Oryctolagus cuniculus: one gene and its partner. The protein of the gene in region 2 binds, or shares a complex with, the protein of the main gene of each other region. Links are inferred from orthologs where the notes say so. Each region holds a gene or a part of one and is shown on either strand. Other genes may lie near its edges.

The links. Proteins that work in one complex are often made in the same cells at the same time.
Region 1: the proteins of PLXNC1 (region 2) and SEMA7A are in contact, whole or in part, in a crystal structure (PDB 3NVQ), measured with the Homo sapiens proteins. The link is inferred for Oryctolagus cuniculus from reciprocal best matches to the Homo sapiens genes PLXNC1 and SEMA7A. Residues at the interface, in NP_005752.1 of Homo sapiens: Arg131, Thr151, Glu152, Val153, Asn195, Pro196, Ala197, Ala198, Ser199, Asp200, His201, Thr203, Ala206, Lys208, Arg213, Ser214, Leu215, Ala216, Thr217, Gln218, Glu219, Leu220, Arg222, Lys224, Glu272, Ala350, Ser352, His353; in NP_003603.1 of Homo sapiens: Gln194, Tyr196, Asn197, Gly198, Lys199, Arg202, Arg204, Tyr213, Ser215, Asp216, Thr217, Gln270, Gly271, Gly272, Glu273, Ser274, Ser275, Leu276, Val278, Ser279, Lys280, Pro372, Thr375, Glu376, Phe378, Gln379, Asp382, Arg383.

What each region holds. Positions count from the first base shown.
Region 1 is NC_091443.1:109,255,718-109,258,612, reverse strand, and holds the end of SEMA7A (semaphorin-7A), read right to left. Parts: intron 2,819-2,895; coding exon 2,691-2,818; intron 2,551-2,690; coding exon 2,396-2,550; intron 2,294-2,395; coding exon 2,232-2,293; intron 2,053-2,231; coding exon 1,691-2,052; 3' UTR 501-1,690; downstream 1-500. UniProt on the Homo sapiens protein: Plays an important role in integrin-mediated signaling and functions both in regulating cell migration and immune responses.
Region 2 is NC_091442.1:97,251,951-97,255,467, forward strand, and holds part of PLXNC1 (plexin-C1), read left to right. Parts: intron 1-468; coding exon 469-571; intron 572-3,297; coding exon 3,298-3,399; intron 3,400-3,517.

The sequences.
Region 1 (2,895 bases), on a different chromosome or scaffold from region 2:
TGTCCCAACTGCCCCACACACGTCTCCAGCAGTTCCTGCTCAGAAGTGCTCCCAGCCACCCTGGGCAGTGAGAGCTTGCAGGGACCATGGGGGCTCCCCCTGCACCCCGCCTCCATCCCAGAGCACTGCCCTGGTCCCCACCTCCATCCCCACACACAGCTCTCTCCCAGACCCCCACCCGGGGGTGGCCGGTGGGGAGTGAGCACCCAGCCTCAGCGCCTGCACACGACGCGCCCCTCTGTCACCCCACGGGGCCCAGTCTGAATACTGCTCCCTCCCAAAACAGCCCTGAAGGAAGGGGAGGCCTGGCGCTCTTTGGAGCAGACCAGGGAGGCAGAAAAGGCCACAGAAGTCCTGGGGCTCCAGGTCAGGCTGGGTGGGGGGTGTGGGCTCAGACCCCCCCCCGCCCCCGCTCCCACCTCTCACCTCCCAGTGAGAACATCTGCAAAACAGGAGCCCCCACCCCCCACCCCCGCTGGGCAGCAAGCAGCAGGCACCGGTAAATAAATAGCTCGTTTATTAGTAATATGTTACATTATTATTAAAGTGCATTGAGAAGAGATGCAGGGGCCCCAGGCCCAGCCCCAAGCAGCCAGACCCAGCCGGAGAAGGGGCCCAGCTCTCGGGACAAAATCCACGGCCGGGGTTGGGGGCAGGGCCGTCCCCACGGAATTTTTCACAGTTTAGCTTAAGTTATGACGAGTCCTGAGCTGAAGGTGGGAGGCTAGGAGCATGGAAGCACAGCCCCCAGGGAAGGGGGCCGAGGGGCAGGGAGGAGGCGCCCCCTGCCTCCCCGACCCCCAACGCCAAGGGGCTGAGTCCTGGAACCTCCCCCTGAGGACTTGGCTCCGTTCCGCAACACCAACGGTGCACCCAGGGCTTCCTTCTCGCCTGTCTCCCGCACCCGACCCTGCCCACAACCACCCCCTCCCCTGGAGGGGGGGGGCCTGGACAATGTCCCCTGGGACCGAGCTCCCAGGCCAGGGCCAGCTCCTGCCACCCTTCCCGAACTTACCCCGGTCTCCGGACCCTCATCCCACCCCACCCCCGCCCCCCTGGGAGCCTCGGACAGGGACCACCCTCTCCCCCAGTCCCCTCCCCGCCACCCCCCACCCCGCCCCCAGCAAGGGCTTTTGGTATTTTCATACGGATGCAGTCGGAAGTAGCTATACATGAAATAAGTCTAACATAAAAATAGAGCTTTTTCCGTCCTTCTGCCCGGAAAGCAAACATCCTCCATAAACATGCAAGGCGGCCGTCCGGCGGGACCCAGGGCCGCGCGAGGGGGCCTGGTCTGCAGGATGCCGGCCGCCCAGGGGAAGCAGGCAGTGGAGAAAGGGGGGCCACAAGGCCCCGGACGGACCTCAGCCCCGAGGCCCAGCTGCCCTCTCCTGACCCCTGCGGGTGGGCATCGCTGCCCTAAGTCCAAGCAGGAGCTTTTGGAAAGTCTAAGTCCTGGGACATCCCCGGTGCTGCGGCCTCTCGGTCTGTCACTGCCCCTCCCGGGGCCCCGCAGCCGCCCGCGGCTGGGCTGGACGTCCCCCGGGGGCTCCTCTGACCCGGGGAGGCAGCAGCAGAGGAGGGGCTCCCGGGCCAGCCGGCTCTGAGGAGGAGACTTTTGGAGAAGCCCTGGGGCGTCGGAAGCCTGGGGCGTGGGCAGCCCCCGGGGAGGGGGGTGGGTTGGGGGTCCCTAGTGGACCAGCAGGCCGAGCGCCAGCGTGGGCAGGACCCCCAGCCAGAGGGAGGCGGCCAGGGCGCAGGCGCTGCCCATCAGGTGCTCGGCCAGGGCGCGGTCCTCGGGCAGCAGCTCCCAGTGCTGGGCTTCGCGCAGGTAGGAGCCCTCCTGGGCCTCGCAGCGGTAGTGGCCGTACTGGCGGGCCGTGAGGTTCTCGATAAACAGGATGCAGCTGGGGCTCTGGTGGCCCGGCTCGCAGCTCTGCTCCACGCTCTCCTCGTGGCGCCACGAGTAGGTGGCGTGGCGGGACTCCATGGGGCAACTCAGGTAGTAGCGGGAGTTCCGGGCCAGGGACACCTTCTGCAGCGGGGCCTCATCTGGGGGGGTGGGGAGGGGCCGGGGCTCAGCGGGGAGGGTCTCCCAGTGAACCCGGGGTGTGTGGGGGGCAGCCCCCTGCTCTTCTGTTCTCCCCGGTCTCCCTGCTCCCACCCCTCCGGGGGCCTCAGCACGAGGCCACGTCCCCTCCCACCAGGGCACCTGGGGCTCATCGCCGTACCTGGCTTGGGGTTGGGACACTCCTTGTGCGGCTCAGCGGGGTTGATGGACTGCAGCACTGCCCTAGGGCGGGAAGGGGGAGACCGGCTCAGCACAGGGGGTTCAGCCCTGCGGCCCACCAACCCCTCCCCCGCTCCCCGTCCCCTTCTCCCAGGGACGACCTACCGCTGGGAGCTGTAGATGGAGACGCAGCGGCCCTGGTCCCAGCCGCAGTAGGGGTCTCGGGACATGAGGCAGCCGTGGCAGCCCCCGCCGTAGGCCTCACACAGGTCCAGCGGCACCTGGCTCACCTCCCACTGGGACGTCACGTACAGCTTCCGCTGCAAGAGGTGGGCAGGGGCCAGGTCAGGCCAGGGCCGCTGAGTCCTAAGCCCCCAGGTGCTGGGGGGTCTGCCAGAGGCTGGACACACAGATCGCACGTGCAGGAGCCCCAGGACGGGGCTGGGCAGGGCAGGCTCACCCGGTCAGGGTCCAGCGACAGGGTCTGGATGGCGGCCGCTCGGCGGAAGGGCTGGATCTCCATGATGTTGAAGACGAGGCTGTGGGCCCCCTCCCCCGACTCCACCACCTTGTGGATGGTGCCCTTGTCTGTGGACGGGGCAGAGAGTCAGCTCAGGCTCAGACGACCCCAGGTGAGGGGTGAGAGGGGAGTGGCCTGGTGGGGC
Region 2 (3,517 bases):
CTTTGCTCTGGCTATTGGGGCCATTTGAGGAGTGAACCAGCAGATGGAAGATTTCTCTCTCCCTCTCTCTGTCAGTAACTCTACCTCTCAAATAAATAGATAAAATCTCAAAGAAAAGCAAGCAAGCAAGCAAGCAAGCATGCTAAGCCTGAAAAAGTCCCTCAGGGGTCATTGGGTCAGCACGACCCACATGGCTTTTACCATAGGGTGTGTTATTCAAAATAAGCCTACCCTGACTGTGCAAGGAGAGGAGGAGGCAAGAGTTGGGCTGCTCCCTGGGAAGCAAGTGTCGGGGTGCTGCTCACCCTCGGGCTGCCTCCTCCCGATTGGTCCTAGGCCCTTGGGCTGTTCCTTTCTGTCCCCGAGAGGGGACTGGAGCTCAGCCGTCTCCCCGGGCTCGGGCTCGGGTGGAACGCATCGTGGGGGCCCCGGCTCCGTGGGGTCTGGTGATGCTGTCTGTCCTTGCAGGTCAAGCTGGGGAACCTGGAGCTGTTTGTGGAGCAGGAGTCGGTCCCCTCCACGTGGTATTTTCTGATCGTGCTCCCCGTCTTGCTGGTGATCGTCATTTTTGGTAAGTGCCCTGTGTAGTTTGGCCAAAGGAATCCTCCCCAGCGGCCTCTCTCAGGCTCTCTGCTGCCGTTGAGTGTGAACGGGGGAGAACTCAGATCAGAACTCTGGGGAAGGCTGAGCGCTTTCTGCACATTTTTAAGGAGGCCTCGTGAATACAAGAGTGCATTTCAAAGATGGGGTCCTGGGGTGTGAGGACCAGACTCCACTTGGCCTGGGCCACGGCCGCAGATGCCCGCTTGGGTCATTCTCTTAGAATTCCTCTGGGGTTCCAGACTCCCAGGGCTGGGTTCCCTCCTCCCACCTTCTCCCCTCAGCAGGCGCTGCCTCCCACTTCCACCTCAGCCCTGCCTTCCCTGGCAGAACCAGACGTTAGACGTGAAATCGGGGTCACCTGTTGACATGTTCCCAGGCTCCCCAGCGTGCCGAAATCCCCTGCTGATCCCCTTGACCTATGTGGCTCACTGTTGGGTTTTATTTGGCCACAGGACATTTCTTCAAGTCTGAGAGAAGCTGACAACATTTGAAAATTAGATGATTTACATTAAAAAAAAATCTCTTGACAGTTTGCAAGATTGGGATCCATGAATCTCAGTTTTTCCACAGCGTCAGTTTACTGGAGCTGAGAGGCAGCTGCCCTCCCAGACAGGCCGTGTGCTCCTTGGGTGTTCACCACAGTCTCCACCGCTCCCTATTAACTTCTTCCAGACCACTTGATCCATCTGAGTGTCTGGTTCCTGTGGCCATTTGGTTTGCAACCTCTGGTTCTGAGCTGCCTTTCATTTCTGTTTCCCCCCATCCTTCGTTGAAAAAAGAATTCCCTCCACCAACGAAGCTGGCCCTTCGTGTCCTTTGATTGGATGCAGCCATTCATGCTGTAACGTTTTAGGCGAATGGAGGCGGATGCTACTGTTTTCTTCCATAGCCTCCTCTCATTCGTTCACTCCTTCCTGCATTCATCCGTCTCTTGTTTACTAAGCATCTGTTATGCTGCTGCTACAGCTGTGCCAATCTCTGGATCTAGAGATGAGTTAAGGCCCGGCCCTTCCCCTCGCGTTGTTCACAGTCCAGTGAGGGAAAGATTTATGTGTGTAATTAACTGGCTTAATGTGATGAATTCGCTCTGCCGGCACCCCGTTTTGCCCTGCGGATGATCGCTTCAGATTTTTTTTTATAATGCCCTCCCCCGAGTTGCCCACCCCTGTTGTATATTTGCAATCCAGAATCAGGCTTGGCAATTCCATCTACTCCTGGCTGCTGTCTGTCGGCTCTGAGAAAGGAGGCTACCCACACAGGCTAGACCCGCGGGGCTCTTAACGACCTGTGCCAGCCTGGCCAGGAGCCGCGTCTACTTAGGGGCGTCCCGGGAAGCTGCCCGCTTCTCCCTGCCCATTCGGGGCTCTCTGTGCCTCTCCCTCCACTTTGCGGGGATTGCTGCTGCCCTTGAAGGTGGCTTGGGCTTGGTTTTGACACAGGGCTCTTGACTGCATTTGGATCTGCAGAGCCCTTTGCCCTCCTGGTCCCCTCCCTGCGGTGACTCCAGGCAGGAGTGTGCAACCCGCACCTGCAGTCGGTCCCAGCTGGCCCGGGGCCTGCCACCTCCGAGATGTCCCCCAGAGACGTCTGCTGTGGAAAAACTCCCTGCATTATGGCCGCAACCTCCCAGCTTCCTTGGCGTGTGTGAACCAGGGTTGCCCAAAGGGCAGCCTGAGCAACCATGGTCCCAGGTGACACCCCTGAAAAGGGGGGTCCCGCGGGCAAGGAAGTTTGGGAACCACTGACATCCTACACTTTCCGGGAAGTGCACAGAGCGTGCTGTGTGAACGGGTCCAGTGAAGGACCATAATTGACTTTGTTTCTCCCCACATCATTTACGTGTAAGGTAGCAGAGCGCTTGTGTCATGTAATCGCTGTTAGAAGAGGGGCAATTCAAGGAGTAATGGTCCTTGGTTGTCAAGTACTTACTTTTCTTCAAGTGTGAGTTCTCTCTGTTTTCTGTAACTTACTTACTGTCCGTCTGCCAGCATCCCGATGAGGCGGGCACTCGGACAGATAAAGCAGCCGCGCACAGAGATGCGAAGAACTTCCCGGGGGGTCACCCAGCTCGCACATGACAGAGCAGGGACCTGAGCCCAAGCACCAGCTCCCTTCCGTGTACTGCCTTGCCAGCACAATGAGAAGCGAAGTCAGGTGGCAGGAGCAGCCCGATCTTGGCAGCTCCCAGCTCATGGCGCCCTGTTAGCGCGAGGCGAGCTGGGCTTGCGCGAGTGCAGCCCGCTGTGTGGACCTGAGGTTTCTTTCTGCATCTGCAGCACAGCCTTATTTCTCCAGGGATGTTTAGAAACATCAGAAAAAGAATGGAACAATATGAGTGGCCTGCGGCTGCGGGGCAACTGGGCTGATTTCATTACTTTTCAGCCAACTGGGATCTTTGGTTACAAGTGAAGGTTATTTGATTTAGTTTTCCCTTTTAAGATGAGTGGATTTTTTTTTTTAATGTTGTATTTTAGCATCTTCCTCTTAGAGTGACCTCTTCATGGGAAATTTTCTTTTTATAAAATGCAGCTCTTAAACACAGTTTTCCAGTTTCCCCATCGACCCCGCTCTCAAACACGCTCCTCCCTCTTTCTCTTATTGATTGAGCCAGCGGTAAAGCTTGGTCTGCACTGTTGTTTGTCTTTCTGAGTCCACGTGTCCCTCTGACCAGAGCGTCTCTCTCTCTCTCCCCAGCGGCCGTGGGGGTGACCAGGCACAAATCCCAGGAGCTGAGTCGCAAGCAGAGCCAACAGCTGGAGCTACTGGAGAGCGAGCTCCGCAAAGAGATCCGTGATGGTAAGCGCTCAAATTTTATTTGTACAAAACAAGCCTTTCTTTATTTTTATATTTTTGCCTGTAAGTGAAAAAAACCCGGCCAGGGTAACGAGAAGTGTTGGTAGAACAGAAGACAACT